4 linked regions of the Caenorhabditis elegans genome follow. The protein of the gene in region 3 interacts with the protein of the main gene of each other region in a biochemical or structural test. Each region holds a gene or a part of one and is shown on either strand. Other genes may lie near its edges. The genes, in order: skn-1, rnt-1, pmk-1 and atf-2.

Evidence for each region.
Region 1: of the proteins of pmk-1 (region 3) and skn-1, one has a biochemical effect on the other in vitro, tested with the Caenorhabditis elegans proteins (one study listed by BioGRID).
Region 2: of the proteins of pmk-1 (region 3) and rnt-1, one has a biochemical effect on the other in vitro, tested with the Caenorhabditis elegans proteins (one study listed by BioGRID).
Region 4: of the proteins of pmk-1 (region 3) and atf-2, one has a biochemical effect on the other in vitro, tested with the Caenorhabditis elegans proteins (one study listed by BioGRID).

What each region holds. Positions count from the first base shown.
Region 1 is NC_003282.8:5,656,496-5,661,927, forward strand, and holds the start of skn-1 (Protein skinhead-1), read right to left. Parts: upstream 3,890-5,432; coding exon 3,761-3,889; intron 1,071-3,760; exon of another isoform or gene 921-1,070; intron 876-920; exon of another isoform or gene 823-875; intron 1-822. Other genes in the region: bec-1 (Beclin homolog), read right to left, coding at 4,845-5,030. UniProt on the Caenorhabditis elegans protein: Transcription factor. Required to specify the fate of ventral blastomeres in the early embryo, and postembryonically for the development of the intestine. Directly regulates expression of zygotically expressed med-1 and med-2 to direct mesendoderm development.
Region 2 is NC_003279.8:5,782,043-5,789,736, reverse strand, and holds rnt-1 (Runt-related transcription factor rnt-1), read right to left. Parts: upstream 5,927-7,694; 5' UTR 5,897-5,926; coding exon 5,828-5,896; intron 5,096-5,827; exon of another isoform or gene 5,075-5,095; intron 4,931-5,074; coding exon 4,813-4,930; intron 4,557-4,812; coding exon 4,437-4,556; intron 3,636-4,436; coding exon 3,562-3,635; intron 2,586-3,561; coding exon 2,469-2,585; intron 1,860-2,468; coding exon 1,801-1,859; intron 1,749-1,800; coding exon 1,630-1,748; intron 1,578-1,629; coding exon 1,348-1,577; 3' UTR 1,127-1,347; downstream 1-1,126. Other genes in the region: cpb-3 (Cytoplasmic polyadenylation element-binding protein 3), read left to right, coding at 68-280, 356-567. UniProt on the Caenorhabditis elegans protein: Transcription factor. Binds to regulatory DNA sequences in order to modulate transcription; negatively autoregulates its own expression, perhaps dependent upon CBF beta homolog bro-1.
Region 3 is NC_003282.8:8,146,783-8,152,317, reverse strand, and holds pmk-1 (Mitogen-activated protein kinase pmk-1), read right to left. Parts: upstream 3,525-5,535; 5' UTR 3,513-3,524; coding exon 3,364-3,512; intron 3,320-3,363; coding exon 2,754-3,319; intron 2,387-2,753; coding exon 2,022-2,386; intron 1,631-2,021; coding exon 1,577-1,630; 3' UTR 1,052-1,576; downstream 1-1,051. Other genes in the region: Mitogen-activated protein kinase pmk-2, read right to left, coding at 3,987-4,136, 4,187-4,391, 4,476-4,572, 4,622-4,693, 5,022-5,136, 5,188-5,265. UniProt on the Caenorhabditis elegans protein: Serine/threonine kinase which responds to activation by environmental stress and pro-inflammatory cytokines by phosphorylating downstream targets. As part of a MAP kinase signaling pathway, plays a role in modulation of lifespan and immunity.
Region 4 is NC_003280.10:8,749,785-8,754,639, reverse strand, and holds atf-2 (Transcription factor atf-2), read right to left. Parts: upstream 2,655-4,855; coding exon 2,524-2,654; intron 2,450-2,523; coding exon 2,074-2,449; intron 1,844-2,073; coding exon 1,621-1,843; intron 1,539-1,620; coding exon 1,282-1,538; intron 1,209-1,281; coding exon 1,110-1,208; intron 1,022-1,109; coding exon 902-1,021; 3' UTR 707-901; downstream 1-706. Other genes in the region: K08F8.7 (MARVEL domain-containing protein), read left to right, coding at 86-366, 422-479. UniProt on the Caenorhabditis elegans protein: Acts as a transcription factor that recognizes and binds to the sequence 5'-[GA]TTA[CT]GTAA[CT]-3', a sequence present in many promoters.

The sequences.
Region 1 (5,432 bases), 2.5 Mb from region 3:
GAGACGACTGGATCAGAACAAAAAAAGCTAGAGAGCAAACAAGAAAAGTTGGTCAAATAAACGAGAAAAGGTTTTTTTTTGAAAAATCAATAGAAGTGCTAACGGGTTACTGTAGATATACGGGTTTTTAAGGAACTTGCAGAATTGAGTCGAGAAATCTACAAAAAAACTATTGAAATTGGGAGAAAAGCGAGAATTGCGTGAAAACTAAAACAAAAGTCAGTTTCGAGTGATTGAAATGCGACAAAAAATCATGAAAAAGCGAGAAAGCTTATACGAGTGAGTGAGAATATAATTCTAGATAAGGGCAACTAAAACATTTGCCGAAAATTCGAGTTCAAACTTGCTATCAGTGAGAGTTGAGAGTGCTTGGGTCAGGTGCCTGATTGAACTGGAATTGAAAGAAAAACATACATTCAAAGGCGCCTGACAATCAACAATTCAAAAAAGAACTCCGATTTCTGGGCGGTCCAAAACCGCAAAAAAAATAAAAGACAATTGATTCCAAAAACAGTAAACACAAGAAGTTAGTTGTCGTGTTGAGGTTACCAAGTGAAAAATGGCGTCAAAAAACAGAAAGAAAGGCGATTTCCAGAGACAACGAAAGAAAACCATCGAAACAGTGCACTCGGTGTCCTTATTTCTCTAAGTTCTCTACGATTTGTGCTAACTTGCCGCCATGGAAATGATGACAAATACGAGAGAGCGCGCCGATAGAGTAGATCACAAGACGAGGAGAGATGGCTGAAACTGTAGACACGCAGGGTGTACGAGAGAATGCTGGAAAGCGCATGTCCAATGGGAAGACGCAGAGGTAAAAAAATTTTGTGACCGCCGTGTCTATTTGCCTGAACACAGATAGACACAGACTTGTGGAGATCGAAAATCGCAACTTTTTGATCCGAAATCTTGGTGCGCGGTAAATTAACGTGCGCAGAAAATTGACCAATTAAATGAAAAACTAGAAGAGAAGGCTGCTGTGGGGGCCGTAACGAAGTCAACGAAAGCTGATAAGACCAGCATTGTCGCTCGCCGCTTGCACCAAAGACGACGACTACAAAACGACTACACAACGGCAGGTGAATGTTGTAGCGAGAGGGCGAGTGCGACCGAATTGTTGCAGGCAGGTAGTAGACGGTGGGAGGTGAAAAACCGAAGATCTGGAGAATGTGTGTGTGGATGTTGATGCAATTTTTCATAGCACGTTGCCCTTAAATTCTGATGAATCCACACAGAAGTAGTACAGAGCAGGACTGTGCGGAAAAATATTTCGGCAAACGTACAAAAATGAATATAAAAATGTAGGAAAATGCTCGCTCAATCTGAAAATGATATGTATTTTTGTTGGAAAAGTTTGAAAAAGACTTTCAATTGTGCCGTCTTTTAAAAAGTTTTCAAAAAAAATTTTTTTTTCAAACCGAACGAGCATTTTCCTACATTTTAACATTAATTTTTGATTCAAAAAGTTGATATATTTTTCGAAAAAAGTTACAAGTCTAGTACAGAATACTTTGAAAAACGATTGAAACTGAAACTCACGAAACCGAGAGAACAGTTTAAAACAATTATTCAATAAACTTAATGCTTGGTGGTACTGCTGAGAATAAAAAATTTGTTTTGATTTAATTTCTTCTCAACGCCTAATTTCAAAATGCGTGCTGGTTTTCACGTTTCCAAAAATCCAAGTTTTTTTTTGGAAAGGAACCAAAAATTCAAAAATAAAGCATATCAGTTTGAAGTTTGTGCCAAGACTGATAAGAAATATATGAGAGATGCAAAAGATATCACTTGACGAGAAAAAGAAAAGATTTTCGATATTCTAAAAAAGAGAGGTTTGGGTGCACACGGAAATCGGATACATCTACAATTGAGCTACAACTGAATTATTCAAACCACCTGCGTCAGACATGCATGGGAAAATTGAATTATCCACACACCTTCTTCCCTGTTGATATGTGATCAGAATTCTTCGAAATCTTGGCTAAAAATAATTATGATACTAAACCTGCTACAAACCACGTGTTTTTATTTTTATTATTACTACAACAAAAATAAAAACAAGCGCATAATAGTCTGATATTTGGTTGAAAATCTCAATTAATCAGAACATATCCTGTTTATTTCAGGATATTATGATCAAAAATCGCGAAATTTAGAATATAGTAGTTCCGTCGGAACTCAAAGAACTCAATCTTTCTGTTTGAGTGTACTGTGAGTTTGACATCATATTTGGCTGTTTATGAATTCTCGTAGAACGTGATGTTCAGAATTATATTTCTTGACCTCAACCGTGAAAACGAATAGGTTCAGCATGTCAAATACATTGCAATTCAATTAGAATATAGTAGAAGAAAGCTTCTACTCATATTCTGTCAATAAATAATCATACTTTCAATTTTTACAAATCGAAAGCTGTGATCCGAATTTCAACTTATACCAATTCCTTGATCCATTGCGTGCAAAAACCCAACTAACCATGTCAACCGCACCCATTCACAATCAGACCACAGATATGATTCAAGTCATTTTTTCGGTTTTAAACGTCTCATTTCCAGATGATATCATCTTGCACCGAGAGCGTCAATTTAATCAAACGGTTTGATCAAACATTGTACGTGGTGGTGGAAAACCGTTGTTGATAGTCGCTGTCGGCGTAGCAGAAAAAGTTCGAAAAATCAAGAGCCTCGTGGGGTGTCTATCAGGATGGTAATGCTGCTATCAAGCTGGCATATAGGCAATCGGGGGTTTGCGATTTTGGAGCGACTCCGGCAAGATGTTTGTATAATATACATATATGGAGGACAATGTACAGACAGTAATATTTTAGGCTAAGTTTAAGATTGAAGAGATTGGAAAATATCTGAAAATCTGATGATCTGGCGGAAGAAGGATTTCGGAAGGGAACGGTCTTCTTAGCGGCTCTGAAATACAAAGATCACGCTTTCCATTGTTTTCTTGAATTTTTGAAATTCTACTTTTCAGAGGACTTCGACTTCGTCCTCTGGCATTTACGAACATAGTCGTTCCGGCATCATTATTGCAACAGAGAGAGAGAGAGAGAGACAGAATGAGCCGTGAATAGTTTCAGACAACGAGGCAACTGTGACATTCTACATGAGATAGTTGGGATTAACACGTAACAATGCGGGAGACCTAGATAACGAGAGTGATGTGACTGAAGTGATAAGAGGAGAAGGTGGTCTGATATGGAGTTTGGGAAGGAAAAGCTGTTCAAAGTAAATATGTTACGCGGTCTTTGAGAAATGATCTATAACCGGGTGTAAATAAGAAAAAATGTTTGAATTTGAACTTGAAAAATCATATTTTTGAAAACTCGACTCTCAATTGTGGTGTATTTTCCCTATTTTAGTCTACTCGAATTAATAGAAACTTCCAAGAATAATATATAGGTAGATGATGAAAAAGCTTAAAAAAGCTAAAAATAGGCTCCACTCAGATCTTGGTTATTCTTTTAGTTTTTTTTCTTGTTTCTGAAGAAATTAAGTAATCCGTGAAGAGAAAAGCCATGTTTAAGGTTAAAGCTGGAATTTTGAGCCAAAAATCTTGGGAAAAAATCTACAAATCTTAGTTAAAGTTGGATTTAGAACATGAAGAAAACAAAAATTGTAAATGCAAGTAATATTGAATCAGAATTGCAAGAGTTGACTGGAAAAGTGATACGAAAAGTCATGCTCTCCCGTGAAATGATGATATTCTTCAGGTCTTTTTACTTGATAAAACCAACAAAAAAAAAACTAACCGACACTCCATAAATTGACGTCGTCTCTTCTTCGTCGTCGGCTACCGAAGAGAAGCACTGTCTTCGTCTTCGTTTATCGTCTCGTCTCGTCGCCGACGTACTTCGCTGACGGCGTGATGAACCGCCCATCGACTGACTGGATTATGATAGATCCTGTGAGAATGAGTGGAACACTTCTCTCAACAATATTCGGACACGGACTCGCGGCTGAGTGACCAGAGTCCGATCGACGGAGGAGAAACGCGTGAACGACGACACGAGGCCTTCTCTGCAATATTTTGAGTTACAACAATTTTTTTTCTAGAATTCAGAAAACGGGAATTTTCGGAATTACAAGAACTATTCTAGAAAAAACTAGAAACTTCGTTTTTGGGGAATTGTATTGTCTACAAAAACCTACAGTATTTTTTTTCAAATTTAATTAAAGGAGGAATATAGTTTGTGGGAGGTTTTCGCTTAAAAAAAACTAAATCTGGCACAAAAGTGCCGAATTTCATAGTGATATTTATTTAAATAATTTCAAAAACGTTTATGACTGGAAAAATCGAAAAAACATTCAAATTTTCCACACATTTTGGTCGAAAATAAAAAAAAAACGGTGTTTTAGCTTTAAAAAAATCCAGAATTTAGCAAAATTTGGACCTTATTTTTCGATATTTTCAGTTATACATTTTTCGAAAATTTTGAGGCAATATTAGTAAAATCAGATTAAAATAAGTTTAGTGGTAGGAACTTGATTTCACAGTTTCAGAAAATTTTAATAATCATTAAACCAAGTAAAGCAACAAGAAAGAGAAAATAAATTAGGAAAAATTCAAATTTTAGATAACAGAATTGGTTTCAAAACCAATCAACAAAAAATAACAAAATTTCCTCCACAAGACTGCAATAAAAATCTTTACTTTTAATATATTTACATATGGTACAAGTTTGGGGAAAAGGCAGAATTCCAGCAGAAAATTTGAAAAAAAAAACTAGAAATCACAATGAAAATTGAATATTTTTTAAAGAAGCGTCCCTGAGAAATTGAAAAAAAAATTTCTAGCGTTGAAAATGTTATTCTACATTTGATCCCGTGAAATCACTAAATAGGCGATCTGAGAGCATCGCATTGAGCACACGCAGCTTTGAGATCTGTGAGCATTAGAGCCATTGCACGAGTCCATCGAACATCTGTGTTGAGTGTCATAACTGCATTGTATTTGACACCATTGTCAACCAGTGAATCAGCATGAATTTGATATGGTGGTTTGAAATTTTTGTTTCGATCCTGAAAAATGTATAAAAATTAGGGTGTTTCTGAAACCAAAAAATTATAAAATCGATCTTTATACCGGAAAATGAATATTGTAAATCCATTCTTAACGAGATGTGAAATTTTACAGTTTTGCTCCAAAAATACTTTAAAAAACCCGATTTACTCAAACTCATAAGGGATCGTGCGCCTTTAAGGCCTACGGTATTTCCCAACTCCTCAAGTGTTCACCCAATTATTTAAATAAAATTTATTAAAAAACATGTAAAAACACGCCAAATTTCGTAGAAACGGGCGGAAAACTAGGAAAAATCACTCTTTTTCACTAGTTTCTTTCAGATTTGGGTTGGTTTTATACCTTTTTAACGTAAATCGGTTGAAAAATGGGAGTTGGGAACTACAGTAGGCCTTAAAGGT
Region 2 (7,694 bases), on a different chromosome or scaffold from region 3:
ACTAATTTTTATTTTTCGAAAATTTGGAAAATATCTATTTCTTAAACTCAGTTTTTATAATTTTCAGGTTTCCCTATCATCGTCGGCGCACCTGCACAAACATTGTCAGCTCTCTATGGATATATTCAAAATGGTCAACAACTGTTGAAACCAGCCGTTTTTGAGCCACCAATGACACCATCACCAAGTGAGATCAACAAGAATAGAAGAAGCTTCACAGAGTTTTCGACTCCGCCAACAGTCTTCTTCAATTCAACTCCTGTCATATCTCCACAAAAGAGTGAGTGGAATATTTCAATACTTTATAAGCGGAGCATATTATTTTACTCAATTGTTACATTTTCTCAAATTTCAGGTGTGTCCGACGGTTCTCCATTGCCAGCATACTACAACTCGGCTGCATTCCTAACTCCACCACCAACATACTACGGTTCTCCAAACCACCCGACATCTAGCAACATTTCGCAACCTCAGCAACCATACTATGGCGCTAACCTTTATTATGGCTTTATTCCCCCTCAGCAACATCCTTCTGCAATGATGCGCTCTCCCAATTACGGCCAGTAAGCGCTTGCCTGTTTCCATCAAAAATTGCCATGTTCTCATTACTATTCGAATATTTTATATAAGTTCCGTCGCTCGTAGTTCTGTAGAAATAATCAACGTAGTTTATGTTTGCTGAAAACTATGAATGAGAAAACTCCCTGTGAATCATATTGCATCTGTAACATCTTTTTTTGTTTTCCCCTGTAGCGTTTAGTTTGGGCCTTCTTAATTGTTTGTTTTTTTAATCAATTTTGTTATTTTGTTGTGTTTCTAATCATCCATCTCCCAACTCTTATCCGAATCTGATGCCATTTTTCCTTGTCATTCGCAATCAATTCGTATGCCATTTTCTTGGTCCCATCTGTAGATTTAAACTCTCCGCATTGCGTTTTACCTCCCTCTCGTTTAATGTATACAAGAAGAATCGAAGGTAACGTTTTATCTTTTTTATCACTTATAAAATTATTCATCTTAAGTACTCTTTCACATCCTCCCCAATTGCATATTTTCTCGCAGATTGCGCATTAATTTTTTTTTCGAATAAAATTTTTTCGATAGTACGACTTGTTGTCTAGTTGAATTCAAACCTGAAACTTTATTAGATATGATGATAATCTATTCCGATTTAGATCAAAACTTGTATTATTATACAAAAAAGGTTGAAAACCGTTAAATGAACCCGTTGAACGTGTTTTAAAACGAGAATATTGAGAAAAGTGACTGAAGAGGTAGGAAACAATTGAGATTTGGAAATTGAGAGAAATTTGGTGTGTTGTGGTAAAATAATGAATATTTTTAAGATTAAAAAGGCCTCCAAATAGTCGGAGAAGAACTATTCGATGAAGTTATTGATACATTTCTTCGTCTTTTTGATTCTACAGATTCCGGAGTTTCTTGAATTAAATTAATTGAAGTTTCTGATGATTTTGTGATTGAACGAGGAGAAGATGGTCGTTTTAACTTCCGATCATCAGAAGTTGGAGTTATAAAAATTGATGGAGATGATAGGCATGTAGACGTATTAAGGGATACTGCAATTAATAAATTATATATATATATTTATTTCCGAAAAAATAATCTAACCATTTTCCTGTTCAACTTTTTGTTTAATCGGAGTTTTCATCGATTCGCTGTGAATTTTCCAAAGTGCAGCTGAGATAGAAGGATGTGGTCCTGGAGAGATAAGCGGAAAAAATGATGGGCTGAAAAATATAAAAATTATTTTATGAATAATGTGAAATTCGAAAAACTTACGGGAAAGTTTGAGTCATTGGTAAAGGAAACCATGGTGGTGGAATCATTGTCATTGGCATCTGAAAATTAAATTTTTAAAAATTGTTTGCAATTTTTTCATGAATGTTCTTCTACAGTTTTTTGCAGAATTTTTCAAATTAAAAACATTTCAAAAATGAATGAATTTTTTATATTGGGGACGCAGAAAAATGTGAATTTTGAAATTGGGGGTGTGAGCGCGCTCCAACGCCAAAAGTCTCCGCCCCCAAACGCTGGGTCTCGTTAGGTATTATCGGATGAATTTTATATCGAAACTGATGCCATAAAATTCATAATCAAATAAAAACCCTTATTCACTTTTCTGTACTTTTCAAAACATTATTTCACAGTAAAAATCATTAGAGTCAATTGAGAGTAGAAACAATTTAATTCTCGAAATCAGGTGAAATCAGCAAAAGTTATTGAAAACGTTTGAATTTCTGATATTCCCGCCAATACCTAACGAGACCCAACATGAGGGGGCGGAGCGTTTTCATTTGCCTCGATTTCAGAAAAAGGAGACTACTGTACTTCTTAAAGTCACATCCTTTTTTTCTCAGGCTTTATTCAACAAATTCTGGTAATTTCGAGACCCTATACTTAAGTAATTAATACAAAATTTTGTTTGTACAAAAATCAAAAAATCGTACCGGTGGTCCAGGCGTTCGGATAATATCATTTGGGAATATTGTCTGCTGTTCTGCCTGCCGTTTCAAAGATCCTTGTGGTTTTGGTATTCTCGCATCCCTTGGTCCATCAACCGTAACCTATAATTAAATTAATAAGTTTTATCGTATTAAACTGACATCATTTCTTCCCATTCCAACATATTTGGCTTCCTTTTTTAAAAAATAAATTTGAATAAATAAACCAAAACTCAATGCAACATAAGAAGTTGCAATTGATAAGAATATTTACCGATTACTAGGCTTTCTGAAAACTAGTTTTTATTTGTAAAGAGGTGTACCAGGTGACGCATCGTGGTTAATAATCAGATAAGAGAGTACGGTAGTTGATGTGCGGTAAATCTATACATTGTTTTAGAAAACTTAAAGATGGAGTAGTTAAAGAGGGAATTTTGTATAAATTTGTACTCATAAAATAACTGATATCATAAAAACGCTTAAAATTTTTTTTGATTTCCTAACATTTTTGGGAGATTCTGAGCAATTTCTCATGTTTGCCCCAACAAAAAATTTAAAAGAATAAAGCTTTTTTTGGTCGACTTCCAAAATTTTGAGTGGCAATTACAGGGTCTCGACACGACGGAAATGTTTTAAAATGTTAGCTATAGAATGGAATACGCTCATTAAAAAGTATGTAGTTCTCACGTCACAACTTTTTTCGATTTTTCGTTGTTTTTTGTAAAATCAGATGCTCGAAGAGAAATAAGAATTAGAGTGGATGTAAAACTACAGTACCCTTGAGAGGTGCATGCTCCTTTTTATTCCAAAAAAATCAGTCGTTTCGAGACCCTTAATTTGTATTATTCATTTGCGAGTTGTAGCAGCCAAAAAATCTATTTTGCCTCAAAAATAGCACAACTTCGGTTCTGGGTAGGGAAATATTTGGTAATTTTTGAATCATAAGTTATCCAATTAATTCAAAAAAAGATTGATACTTACTCAATGTAATTATCAATTACCTATAGGCGCATTTAAAATCTACATGATATCATATAAATACATTCCCTTCTCCTTAGAATTCCACAAAACTTCCCACAATCCATTCGGATAAACTCACCTTGATCACATTTTTGACGGTGGCCACCATCATCGGCGCCGAATGTATAACGATTGTCAAATGGAATTTTCGGCCTGCAAAAGACACAAAAAACGATTGGAAAATGTGCAGTTTTATTATGAGCCGACGATGTTCTTCTCCATTCCGCCGCCGCCGCCACCTCACAAAAAGTATCCCATTAAATGCGGGCATTTGTCGCGCATTTTTATGTTACACTGATGTTCCGGATAATATAATGGCTCCGGTCAGACTACTCAGGTGGAATCATCAGTTTATTGGAAAATTTTATTATTTTAATGTGGAACACGGCCGTTAATGTATGCGCTTTTAAAATGAGAAAATGTTTAGACAGAAGTGGAAAAAATGATAAGAAAACACAAATCAATAGATTTATAAGAGGTTAAATTAATTTTTTGGTTTTTTGATACAACTAAAAGTTACATGCACCATACGTTATTATAATAAACCGTGCATTTCCATGCACTTCCCAGAGCTCAACTTTGGAATTTTACATATCGGTTATTTTATATTTATTGATAAATTTAGGAAAAATGAAGTTCAAAGCCCATAACGTTGTAATTGATAGATTGATAGAAACTAATAGGTAGAATATGAAATGTATTTATCAGGGAATTAAATTATTTAATTTACTATTAGTAATTTTAGGAAGTTTCATTTTTTTTTGTCTCCCAAGTGTCATACTTTTTCTACCCGCATTCTTACCTCTCACCACTTTTCTCTACTTACCTACCAATTGCAGTTACATATACAGTACTTCTTTGTCAGTTGACTACTTTGTACTAATACCCACAAATATGTGGTCATTACCCCTTTTTTCTACCCGCGCCAACCGGTTATTTGGCTACAGTACTCACCTCTGCCGGACCGCCCGACAAACCGCAAATCGTTAAATTTTGCCACTTGTCGATGCACTTTTGCTTTCTCATTTCGAACTTCTTCGCATGGTTTTTCGTCATTTCCAGCCCAAATTGATACTGAAAATATTATTTGAGCAGTGAAGAAATTGCTTTTTTTATTTATTTTGAAATATAAATTTCAACATAAAGCAATGCAAATATAAGGTTTGTTTTATCATTTTCAGAAATGCTCAATCACATGATTTCAACAATAATTCAAGAGAAGGCAAAATTCCAAAAAAATCATTCCAAACTTATTTCAAATCGTAGAGAGTTTTGAAAAAAGTAAAAATATAAATACGAAAGTGAATCAAAAGAAAAATCAATAATTTACCTTCTGTATTATCTGGAACAGGCGTTAGTAATACAACATAAAATGGTTCTTGAAATGATTTATTTGATCTCCAATGCTTCGGAAGAGCTGTGTATAAAATGTTTGGAGATGATGATTTCTGAAAATTTATTGTTTTGTAAAAATATCTCACAATTCTTTTACACTCTTGTTCGTCATTATATAAAATGTAATATTTTTCGATTGATAATTACAAAGTCAATTTCAATGAAACCTCTAAAACTCAACAAAATCATCGAAATGCTTGTGGTTTGAGCTGAATACTTTTATGATAAGAGAATGAAGATTACTGTATTCATTTGATTACTCAATTTCCAACCGATGCAAAATCAATATACTCTATGTCTTGCAAAAAAAAGTTCAAAAACAAAATGTAAAAATGTTGCTATAAGTTGTAGTTTGGTGTAGTGTAATTTTTATTTTTCATTTCATACCGTCTCGTAAATCTTTAAGATGATTTGATAAAATCTGCTCATAATTGACTATGGAAAATCAATACCCTAGAGTCATGAACTACCGTATACTCTCAAGAAAAGGAAGAGTTTTGAAATTTTTAAAAAAGTACATTTAAATTTGTAAAACTTTGCCGGGAAAATTAACTCAACTTTTTCTAATGTTATGAACGAAAATTAAAAAAAAACTGTAGAAATTCCGTTCACAGACTAGATAAATTGTAAGTTCTTTTACGTTCGGATTTTTGGAAATTTTAGGAACAATTGTTAAAAGTCACTGTAACAAAACCAAAATTTCCCAATTTCGAATCGAAATGCTCAATTCAAAATTATTGTGATATACAGGTACAATTTTAAAGTTAAAGTGACTAGATTATGATTTTAGGAAAAATTGAAAAAATCCAGGTTTATCAATATTTCAGGTTTTAAAAAACGATTTTTCTTCCGAAAACCGAATAAATGACTTAAGAAAGTTTAAAAATTGAAAACCTAAGACTTCGAAGTTTTTTTATAAAGAATCACAGGTGTTCAAGTGCCATACATACCTCTAATGTTTTAGCAGGTGCAGGTTGTTGCTCTATAAAATTCCGAACGTGATGGAAGACGTTGGTCATTTCTGTTAGTTTCCCAGAATACTTCCAGCACTGAAAATGAACATATTTAATTGAGTAGTGATAGAAGGTATTTGAAAATTCAAGAACAATGAAACTATTGCTTGCAATCATAATGACAAAAAAAAATTAGAGATCTGAAAGCTTCATGTACATTTTTTATGGGGGTTTCAAGGCGGAGTAGGGAAATTATTTAAAATTACTACTAGTGCTTTTTGTGACCAAATATCATAGTGCATTTTATTATTTTCAGACAAACAGTGACAAATGCTCATTATAATAATTTTGGAAGTCAACCAAAAAATGTTCTACGAGTTTTATTTTTTATAGGAATGCAATAATACTGAATTCCTCGAAAGGTCCAAATGTTTCGAGGTATTTTTCCAAAACTGTCAGAAGACTGAAAAAAAAACTGACAAATCTGAAACGTTTTAGTGTGTCTTATTTGGATACTCAGATTAAAAAAAAAACATTTCGAGTATACATATATGTTTTTTGACAAAATTTCCACTGATCCTTCTCCGCCTTAAAATTATATTTTGATCCATAAAATTCAAAGAAAAACATTTTTTTCGTCGAATAAATTTTAACATAACATTTAGTAAACAAATAAATAAAAACAAGATTGCCAGAAACGAGCCAATGATGTCTTTTGGCCGTGCAACCGCAAAAACTAGATAAATAGACGATTGTGCTCCGTTTTCAACTGATAAAGCGGAAGTGTGGTTTGGAAAGAAACGAAGTTTCAAAATGGGTGTTTATATGTTCAAAGAAGACACACCTATGAAATTGGTTAAAGAATTTGAAAATTACTAAAACGGAACGAAACGAGGGGAAAAAGATTGTTGAATTCCAGAGAAAAAAGGAAGTTATTTTATTTGCTTACACATTCTTTAAACTACCAACTTCTCAAAAATTGATAACTCTATTCAAATAAAGTTTATGAATGACTTCAAATAAGAAAATGAAGAAAATTATATATTCAACAATTTTCCAAGTAGACAAACATTTACTTATGAATCTAAAAAAGTTTAATAACCTACAAGGAAGTTGTGATAGAGTTGGAATATATTTGCATCTTATTTAATTCTTTACAATTTCAATTTTTGTTTCTTTTCAAAAGTTGCTGGATTTTGCCTTTCCTTTTCTAAATATTTTAAAATTTGTGGTAATTTAACAATTTGGCAGTTACCAAATTAGAAAATATTTTGAAATCGGAATTTCCGGAAATTACCAAACAAAACATGCCCAGGAGACAACTTAATTGTAAGAACGTACAATATTTTTTCACTAGGTAATCAAATAATTTCTCCAAAATCGTCCACCATTTCTCGTTATTTCAGATTCGAGTTTTCGCGATAAGAAACAATGAAATTACGGTATTTTTCTTATTGCTCTAACAGAAGTAATTTTGAGTAAGGGGATGGTACTAGAAATATTTTTTCTTATAAAACTTATAGGATGACTCTTTAAATATTTTATATGATAACTTTAAGAAAACTCATAGTTATTTGGATTTCCGGTTTCAAAGCTTCGTTCATAGCTGAAACTCATGTTTGACTTATTAACTGTGAGTTTGTTTTTCTGAACTAAATATTTACTTCAAACTTGTCACAAATTATTTGTTGAAAATCGAGTATTTCAGAAAATCAGAGGTAAATTTCAAAATGACATTGGGGGCGGGCGTATGTGGCTTGAAAGGTGTTGGCGGGCGGTAGATGGGGCGAAAAGATAAAGGACAGGTACTGAAAACGATGAATTGAAAGCGAAAAAAGAATGAAGAAAAGATGAGGTAGACTTT
Region 3 (5,535 bases):
ATTAAAAAATTTATCTAGAACTTCAAAGCTAGGAATTTCAAAATTTGGAAATGTTTTTCACAATTCTTAAAATTTATAGAAATAAATTATCTTCCCAGGACAATGATTGTCTCCTAGTATATTAATTATACAGACTGTAATGAGAAAAAAGTAAATCAACTGATAAGTTGTAGCCTTTTTATAATCAAGGGATTACAAGGGGAAACAAAGAAAAATTGGAAGGAAAAGATTCCGTATTGAAAGTTGTCAAATAGAAAAGAATGAAAAATTGGAATGGACATTGACCCACACTCAATAGTTTTATAAAACAAGCTCTTATCAGTCACAATTTCTGGCAGAATAGAGAAAATAGACGGAGACATGAACTTGTCGTCATTTCAATTGAGCACCGACATCTCGTGATTCATTAATGATCAAATCAGTTAAGCTGATCGAGAATAGGCATAAATAACATATAAATAATATTTCAACATTATTATGTCACATTATTATGTCACTTTTATTATTCTTACTGTTTTATCTGTATGTGAATGTTAAGACGAAACAAAAATAAAAATGGAAAGAATGTAGAATGTTTTGCCCAATTAAGTATGATTTTTATAAGAAAAGCCAGTGCAAAATGTGAAAACCTTTTTACAAATGAAAATTATTCAGCTCACTGATCTACTCATCGTTTGTTCTAAGAAATCACCGCAAAATTATTCCATCGTGCGTGTTATCTACTGCTTTCTTTTTAGAACTGTAACTTTCTGTCAAAAAACTCGTGAACGTGTGTAGGTTTCTTTAAAATATCAAAGGACCCAAAAAAGCAATAATGCTATATCCTATAAAACACTTTTTGAAGAGAACCTCAGTTTTTCGCTTTGATCTTCTCGGATAGCGAGAAGTTTAGCTTGATGAGCGAATTCATTTAACTAAGGTATTCTATTTTGTTACACTATTTGTTGGATACAGTATATTTTGGCAGTATCAACTGACTTTCAACACTTAAAGTGGCACTTGTAATAATATGATACTGACAAAGAAATTCTTAAAAATAAAGATTAAAAGATAATTTTTATGATTTTATCAAGTTCATTGGAGAACAAAACGAAATAAACATAGAGTGCAATGAAAAGGGGGAAAATATGACTTTAGAAATTTAAAAACTCAACTATCAAGATTTTGAAATTTCTCGAAATCCATAATGAAAGTTAAAAAGCTTGATGGTTGTGTATTTCCAAGGTCACTTATACAGGCTTCATAAAAAACAAGGGGCGGGGTGAAACGAGCACCTAATAGATCAAAACATCTGGAGAATTTGATTTAAGAAATTTTAATTGAAACAAAAATACTAATTGGTTTTTTAAAACAAATTTGAAAACAGAATAAAATTATAAGCGAATCAGTTAGAGCTACCTTGTTTTGTTTTGGAAGATTTTATTTTTGTGGGGGGATAGCACATTGTGAAAGTGAGATTAACCTTTTCAGAGCAAGAAACTGCCTTGGGATTGTAAGATGTCTCAGTTGGCTTTTTTTTTTTTGAAAAATTTGAAGAATTAAATTGAAAAACTGATATACAAAAAAGAAAGCAATGCTACGATTCCATTTTCTCCTCATCTTCCTCTTCGTCAGCAAATGCCACGTTTTTCTGAAAATGATCTCATTATTTCAGTGAATAATTTCCGTTTTTTCTGAGTTTCCTGAGTCAACTTTTTTTTCATTGATAATTTGGCTTCCAAGAAATTGAATATGACTCATGTCTCGTTTCTACTTAACCCCCCGCACTGAATCATCCTTATCATTCATATCAATTTCATAACAAAGTGTAAAGGTTTGGGTTAGGTGTAACTCAACGTTAGAGTAGTATAGGTTATTTATAGAATTTCAAAAGTATTCGAATTAAATAATAACCGCTTAAATTGATACGTTTTTGACAGTCGGAAATGAATTTTGATCACAAAATGAACCCACTGGGGGTGTCCTTCGTTTGATTTTATGCATAATTAGTTGGTTCAAAAACAAGTGTAAATATATATTACCTGGAAATCACTGATCTCTTCCCAAATAATTTTCTTCCATTCATCAATTGTATCTGCCCTTACATCATCATTCAAATCCATTTCTTCTGCAATTGGCTCATCAGTTTCATCGTGATAAGCAGCCAGATATTCATGCTCCATAGCTTCTTTTGCAGTTGGACGACGATCTGGATCAAGGTGAAGCATCTTTTCAAGGAGATCGATTGCTTGAGGAGTTGCTTGAGCAAACAGACGTTTGAAATCACGGCGAGTCATTTTTGGAAGATTTCGAATGTAATTACGAGCTTCTTCTGATGAGATCTTTTTAAGGAATTCTTCATCTGGTGTTCCAGTTACTGACATGATACGAGTCAATTGATCGATGTCTGAAACAGTAGTTTTAAATGAAAAGTCTACATTTTCAAAAGAAAATAACGTTTGTGTTTTGTTTTTTGTTGTTTTGTTTGTTTTTATTGAATTATCTTAGTCCATATTTTGGTAGTTAACACCGCGACTACAAATGCGCCTAAATCCTCAAATCAACTGGAGATAAACTACCAAAATTTGCAATAAGAGGTAATAATTAATTATAAATTTTTTCCGCCTGCTACGGTACGAATAACTTAGCAAAATGATTTTTTTTCTATGTTATGAAACGCCAGTGTACAATAAAGTTAACAACCATAAATATTTACTCTGGTTTTTTGCTTGGAAATTGAAGATATTTGGAATATTGTAGAAAAAAAGTCTTACGATCAGATCCAGGGAACAATGTTTTTCCAGTGATAAGTTCTGCAAGAATACACCCAACTGACCATACATCAACAGTCTGCGTGTAATGCATCCAATTGAGCATAATCTCTGGAGCTCTGTACCATCTTGTTGCCACGTATCCAGTCATTTCAGAATCAGTTTGACGTGCCAATCCAAAATCAAGAATTTTCAATTCACAATCCTCATTAACAGCAATATTTGATGGTTTAAGATCTCGATGAATAATATCTGCAGAATGAATGTATTTGAGTCCACGAAGAATTTGATAGACTAAGAATTGAATGTGGTCATCGTTGAGTCGCTGAATTTTGAGAATATTTGATAGATCAGCTCCCATCAACATTGATACAAAATACACATCCTCGATATCATTTACATTCTCATTTGGAGTGAAGACATCAAGTAGATCAATTATATTTTCATGACACATACAACGAAGAAGTCGGAGTTCACGATATGTACGACGGGCATGAATTATTGATTGAAATGGACGATTGAATTTTTTGATTGCGACGCGAGTCCCCGAGCGAGTACATTCAGCAGCACTAAAAATCGAAAAATAAAGTAAAAATCAGTTGAAATGACATACCAAACAGTTCCATATGCTCCGGTACCAATTGGAGTCAAGTTAATATAATAATTTGGAACAACCCAGACACTTCGATTAAGCTCAACGACATAGTATCCTTCTCGTGGAGTCGGATGAAGTATATGATCCATTGTTGTCTGTGGAAACATTGGCTCCGTTACCTGGAATCATGTTTGTAAGATTTGAAGTAATTATTTTGAAAAAAATATGATTTTTTTGTGTACGTAAAACCAATATAAATGTAAATATAAAAATTAAGCGGCAATTTGAACCGATTAAATGTTTAAGAGTATTTAGAAAATTGAATATTTACATTAATTCTTTATACACTTCAATTTGATAAATGAATCTAAATGAATAATAAATTAAAAGAGGCTCTGAGGTCATGGCAACTTATAGGATTAACGAGAAAGTTAAGGTAAATCACAAGTCTATGGTTTCAAAGGAAAAAATTGAGATTTTGTGGAAAAGAACATCTGAGATCGATTGTTGGATAATTAGAGATCAAGGAATTAGGGACACAAATTTGATTTTTAGTGAAATAAATAGTTTAGGGAGATACAATATAGAAAAAAGAAAATTCCACAGTTTTGAGATATTTTAGCACTTGAACACATTTGACTTCATATTTTCATTGGCTCTTCTTCCGTATCCGTACAGCTTACAAAACTTAGTCTTCGTGCCGAGTTTTGGAATAATCGAATCTCATTCCAAATTAACTCTCGCCAGTCGGATAACGTTGTTGCTCGTTCTTCAGCTGGATCAATTGTGACCTAACAAGAAAATTGGAGTACTTTTAGAGAAGCGAACTTAAATTTCGTACTATGCTATTTATTACCGTATCCATTGCAACTGGTTCATCATTTGGCACAGAGTATTCACGAAGATAGTCATGACGAAGAGCACTTGATACAGAAATTCTTCTGTCCGGATCCAAAATTAGCATCATTTCGAGAAGTTCGAGAGCATATGGAGAAGCCATTGGAAACAATGTAACGAAGTCCTGACGGATAATTGGAGAACGATTTCTGAAAGATTTTTGCGTAAACGATTTATTTTTTTTTTCAGTTCTAGTCTAGTAATTGAATTTCAGAAGTATTTGCAACACTAACTTAATATAATTTCGAGCTTCTTCTGATTGAATTTTGGACCAGAATTCTTCTTTTGGGGTACCCACAACTGACATTATCTTTGTTAGCTGATCAATATCTGCAAATTTTAAATATTTAAAGTATTAGAGGAATAGAATAAAACTCACGATCATCGCCTGGAAACAATGGTCTCCCGGATACCAGTTCCGCAAGAATACATCCAACTGACCAAACATCAACTGAAAAATTCAATATTTTGGTAACATTTTTAGAAGTAAAAAAAAATGATGTTTTTGTTTCATGTGATAAATATATCAAGTTTTTCGTTTATTTGAAAAAATAGGAAGTTGGAATAGAGAGAGAATTGCAGAAACCAGAAATACCAATATCAAGTCAAAGTTTATTCTTCATATTTTCACACGTTTTAGCATAACTACAAGAAACAGGTGAAACATGCTTTCAAAATGTCAGAAGTTAACCTCAAATCATATGATATTTAACAATTTAGTTCAAAGATTTTAGGTGACTATTTAAGTGCATAGAAACCAATTTCTTTTATTTACTCACCAGTCTGTGTATAATGCATCCAATTGAGCATAATCTCTGGAGCTCTGTACCATCTTGTTGCCACGTATCCAGTCATTTCGGCGTCTTGAGCACGAGCCAATCCAAAATCGAGAATCTTGAAAAATGAAAGAATTAGGAAAGAAAGTTGAGAAAAACTAAGAAAAACCTTGACTTCGCATCTCTCATTGACAGCAATATTCGATGGTTTTAAATCGCGATGGATAATCCCTGCCGAATGGATATACTGCAAGAATAGGAAAATATTTGAATGTAAAAGAGTATTAGGAGAAAAAGATCAAAGAATTTTTGGAAGAAATATTTGAAACAAAGCTGTTGTAAGATTTAACCAGCCTAAAACGTGTGTTTCTTCTTTGAAAAGGATGCATTAATTTTTTCAGAATAATAGTTGAATTGAAATTTTGGTGACTCATGTACTGAAGCGTTATTTGCAACTGTTCACATCAAACTGTTTAGATTAAAAAGTATTTTAATGTTCAACAAGTTAAAATCTGTT
Region 4 (4,855 bases), on a different chromosome or scaffold from region 3:
AAGTTTGAAAAAAAACCCAAACTTCTTAATTCGTTTTATTTTTAATGTTGATAACGCGTAGATTTGTACTGTCAAAAAATTCCAGAGATGTCTATTCACTTTTGTTTTTGCTCTTTCCATTCTCGTCTCTGCAATTCTGTTTTTAATTGCCAATGATGGTTGTGACTCCCGAGCAATAACTCAATACGGATGTTATCAATCAGTTTCCACTGGAACATTCCAAGTTGCTTCAGTATTTTGCTTTTTGGTTCTAGTATTTGGACTTCTGGATCTAGGCCTGAATGCCTTCTATTTTTATCGTAATTCAAAAAAGGCGCCAATTTATGACATTCCGCCACCGTCTGTTGCCGTCATCGAAACGGAAAAGTGGGTCAAGATTTGCATAAAATTAGGAAATATTTTATATTTCATGTCCTTTCAGAAGTATACATGACATTTACATGGAGTATCAACGAAAAGGGCAAACAAGTTCTGTTTAATGGAAAAGTAATCAAATAATTATCAATGCTCAACTTTAAATTCACTTTCTCATAATAATTTGTATATATGAAACATTAATAAAACAATTTTCTGATTCAGTTATATCATTCTGAAAAGTTTCCGTTTTCTGGCAAGCGACGGGTGGATTTTAAAAATCGTTTGCAGACTTTACTTTTTTTTGTTGTTTCACCTTTTTTTGTACAGGAAGCAAATCAAAAATAATAACACATTGGTTTTATTAGAAACAATTAATGAAACATTTAAAGTTAAAAAGTATTGCACATGAATGATTGGAAGTATTGCAGAAAGAGAGGAAGGGTTTTTTGAGAGCGAAAGACTTTGATTGGGGGGCATCTAGCGAGAAGACGAAGAAAATTGGCTTTCTATCCGTATTAGTCAAAAATAAGAAAATGGAATGGGATCAAGGGTGAAGGGCAGTAACAACTGATGCTCTTTGAGCCAAAACTGATTTGAAGTGGGCTATTTCTGCTTTTAGCGTTTCGATTTGGGTACGAAGATCTTCATTTTCACCTTCCAAGAGCTGAAAATGTTAAGTAATAATTGATTCAATAAATTTATATCTAAGTTTTAAAATTTTATGTTTTCTATTAAAATTAGTTTCAACTTACCTGAACTCGTCGTGACCTGTATTCGAATACTGCTCGTCTATTTGCTCTACATCTTTTTGCGGCTTCATTGTTCCTTCGACGTCTGTCCACATATTGGGGCTGAAAGTTTTTTTTTGAAATATTTGACATGTATTTAAAAATGTCTTCTTTCAATTCCTTTAAAAAAACTTACCGATTTGTTCGAATAATTTGAGTGATCTTCCGAAGAATGCGATGGAGAGAAAGATGCTGAAGACGATACACTTTCACAGTCTGATTTGTTTCCAGTATGTCTTGGAGGGGAATTTAGCCCCGAAATATGTTCCGTTCGGCTTTGTGGTACTGTAGGAGAAGGTCTTCGCTGTGAAAGAAGAGCAGATAGCAGGGATGGTCCTTGTTGAACAGCTTGGATTACTGGTTGAGGCGTACCTGATGGAGCAGGCTGACCGACTGAAATAAATTTTAGATTATAGTTTCAATTAATACTAGTGAAATGAAAATATGCTCTTTACTTTCAAAAACAACGACTTACTTTGTTGAATAACGCTAGATCCAGGCTGTAACTGAGGTTGAGGCATATTCACGTCAGTTGATGAATCTGGACTTCTTCGTTCAATTTTCACAATTACGCTACTCGATGGAAAACTCTGCTGAGCACTTTCTGATGGTCGAAAAGGATGAAATGCAGATGAAGACGATGAAGAGAATAAAGATGATGCTGACGTTGATGCAGGTTGTTGAGTGCTCGCATAGACCTACAAACATGGAAAAACGTTATGGGACATCTGTCTTTCTAGGTCACGCATTCAGCTGTCAATGTATTCATTAAATTGTTGACAATCTGAGTTGTGTTGCCAAAAAATGACAATGGAACTTTATATGCGGTTCAGACGTTTTTGTAATAGTAAATATTTTTCCACGAGTTAATTTATTTTATTTAAATCATCACAATTTCGATATTTCCAAGTTCAATAAAATAACTTACCGGTGACTGAATAGTTGTTGGCTGTAGTTGACAAAGCTGCAACATTGATGGAATATGCGAAGCTGCCTGGAGCAATGGAACAGTAAGCATTGAACTCGCTTGCAAAGATGCTATTGGACCCGCTGGGAAAAGATTCTTTGCAACTTGGGGAATAATCAGAGATGTTGGAGGCTCTGTTACTGATGGTTGTGGAATTGGTGTCGTTCCTAACTGAGATTTTAACCGTTCGTTTTCGGCGGAAAGTAACATTATTTTTTCTTCCATTGCTAGATCGTTTTGCCTTCGCTTTTCTCGACTTCTTCTTGATGCATCGTTATTTCTCCGTCGCCTTTCCCAGTAATGTTCATCTTTTATTACACTTTCGTTTACGGAATTTCTGGAAAAATAGTTATCAATGTCGAAAAGTATTTAAACTTTCAAAAGTTTCATCAAACTGTTAAAAATTCAAACCTTCTAGATTCCGGGGGAGATCCTTCTGAAAAGTTCGACGAATCCGACGAGCTCGATGAGAACTCGGCGGATGCCGAACAAACCACCGAAAGTCTGGAGGACGGTGACAATGATGCCGAGTCGACGTCCATCTGAAAAATAAAAATAAGATGATTAAAAGTCAAACAAAAGAAGAAAATCAAGAATATAGAAGTACGAAATTTGAAAGAAAAGAACATCGGTGAAAGAAATATGAATACCAAAATCTTTCAAAATGAATTAAGACACAACATTTATATTTTGACTTCAAAATGTTAGTACACATGGTGTATTGAAATGGAAAGTTAGTAGAGTTAAAAGAAGCTGTCAACCTATTTGATGTAAGGACAAATACGTCTTTTTGAGTTGAAATTGACACGATCTTTGGAGATTCAGCACAATCAGAAGTTCAATGTGTTCACTGTTTCCAGATATTATTAATTAATTGTAAGCCATTTTAATTGACCAATGTGTATACAAAAATTATTCAGTTTTTGGTTTCAGTGAAGATGATCTTACGCAATGCTAATCCCTGAGTATCTAGACAACCAGAAAATCACTAACTTAAAAAAAGGTGAGAAAACAAAGTATATCTGGTACAGGTGTGTTCATATGGTAGGTGTAGAGTGCAGTTAGCAACAATTAAGCGGTGTTGTGCCTCTCCTCAGTTGACCTATTTGCGCCTTGCAAACCAGTTAGCCATGGTCAATGTTTCGGACAATGCTTGGTAGATCCTCTCACTCTCAGTCTCTACAATAAACCAGTCGAAGAACAGGATATCCCCTCCGACTTTCGCCCCCTTCTCTCTTCATTGCAGTCCCTTCTCTTTTTCTTCGACCCGTCTCCTAATCATTTTTCATCGTTCGCAACGACTTCAACGCGTCGCCTCCTCCGATCCATGATGATGCCGACTTTTCCTAATTGTTTTCACTTTCCTTTCGCTTTCATGCTTAACTTTCGCTGCTTCGGGTTACGGATGTATGTGTGTCTAAGTGTGAGAAGGAGGAGGAGGTCAATGGTTGAATTCGTCGCATCAGGTCACTAGTACAAAAGGGTAGGTGAACTTTGCGGAGAATTGGAAGACAAGAGGATGAAGCTACTGGGTGGAAAGTGAATAATGAGATACGGCTAAAAGATAAAGTTGAAAAAGATAACGAAGAAAAAATTGGTAGGTTTAGATAAACAAAAGTCTTGAAAAATTCATAAACGCACTCTAGGTCAGGACTGTAAAATATGACCAATGTGAGTGCAAGCCTGATAGAGAAATTTTGGTTATTTTTCACTGCTGAACACAAAAAATGATACTCAATTCTGAAAGTAATTGTTCAAGAAACTCGGAAACGATACAAGCAAATGTATTCAAAATGAAAAAAATGCGTTGAACTAGATGAACAAATTCGCGAAATCGGGCTGGACTTGTTTGTTTTTGATTGTGCACCTTGAAAAAGAGTGGCGAGAGCCAAAATAACCGCCGCCCGTGTTGGGGGACAATCGTCAGCGAAAAGAGAGAGCTATTTTTGTTTGTTTGTAAGGCTCGGAGAATGACGAGAAGTGAATCACAAACAGTGTCCACTATCCTCCCGCACCGCTTCCAAAACTTTTTTGTCTGCAAACCAGAACAGCCAAATTCACTGCATCATTTGATGATTTTGATGACCAGTGAGTGTGTGCCTGTCCCTTGCTGTGTCTACTTCAGTAGTTTTACATGGAGAGCGGATAATACGGTTAGGTAGAGTAACAGAGTGAGAGTGCACTTTTGGTAGTTGATTGCGAAAGTGAGGTGTTGAAATGATGGTATTCTTGTTGGGAACTGAAAGATCGCAGTTCGATACGAGAAAGAGAGAGTGGCTAGCACGATCATATCGTTCGGGAACGAGTCGGTGAAAGTATGCAGGCTATGGGAAGGAAAGTGAATGAAATTGGAAAAAGAGGAGAGAAAATTGAAATTCAATTTTAGATAAAGGTATCTTTACTTGAATCTAGGATTGTCAAGAAGAACTGTTATTTTCTTAGAACTTTTAAATTGGAACAAGTGAAGTTTTAGCTTTTCACATGAAAAAGAGGTATTCTTTGAGTCTGCCCACTTTGAAAAGTGAATTAATGAAAACTGTTTCAAAATTATTGAATCAACAACTTTAATCAAATAAAATGAGTTAGTTATATTTTTTTTTCTTAAGTTAAAGACGGTGTAGCGTTTTCCAGGTTACGTTTTCGATTATTTTAGTAAAAATAAGTGTTTTCCATCAAACTATCAAAATTTAAGATTGGCCGAAAAACAGCCTTTTGTAAATTTGGATATTAGCAAACAAACTAA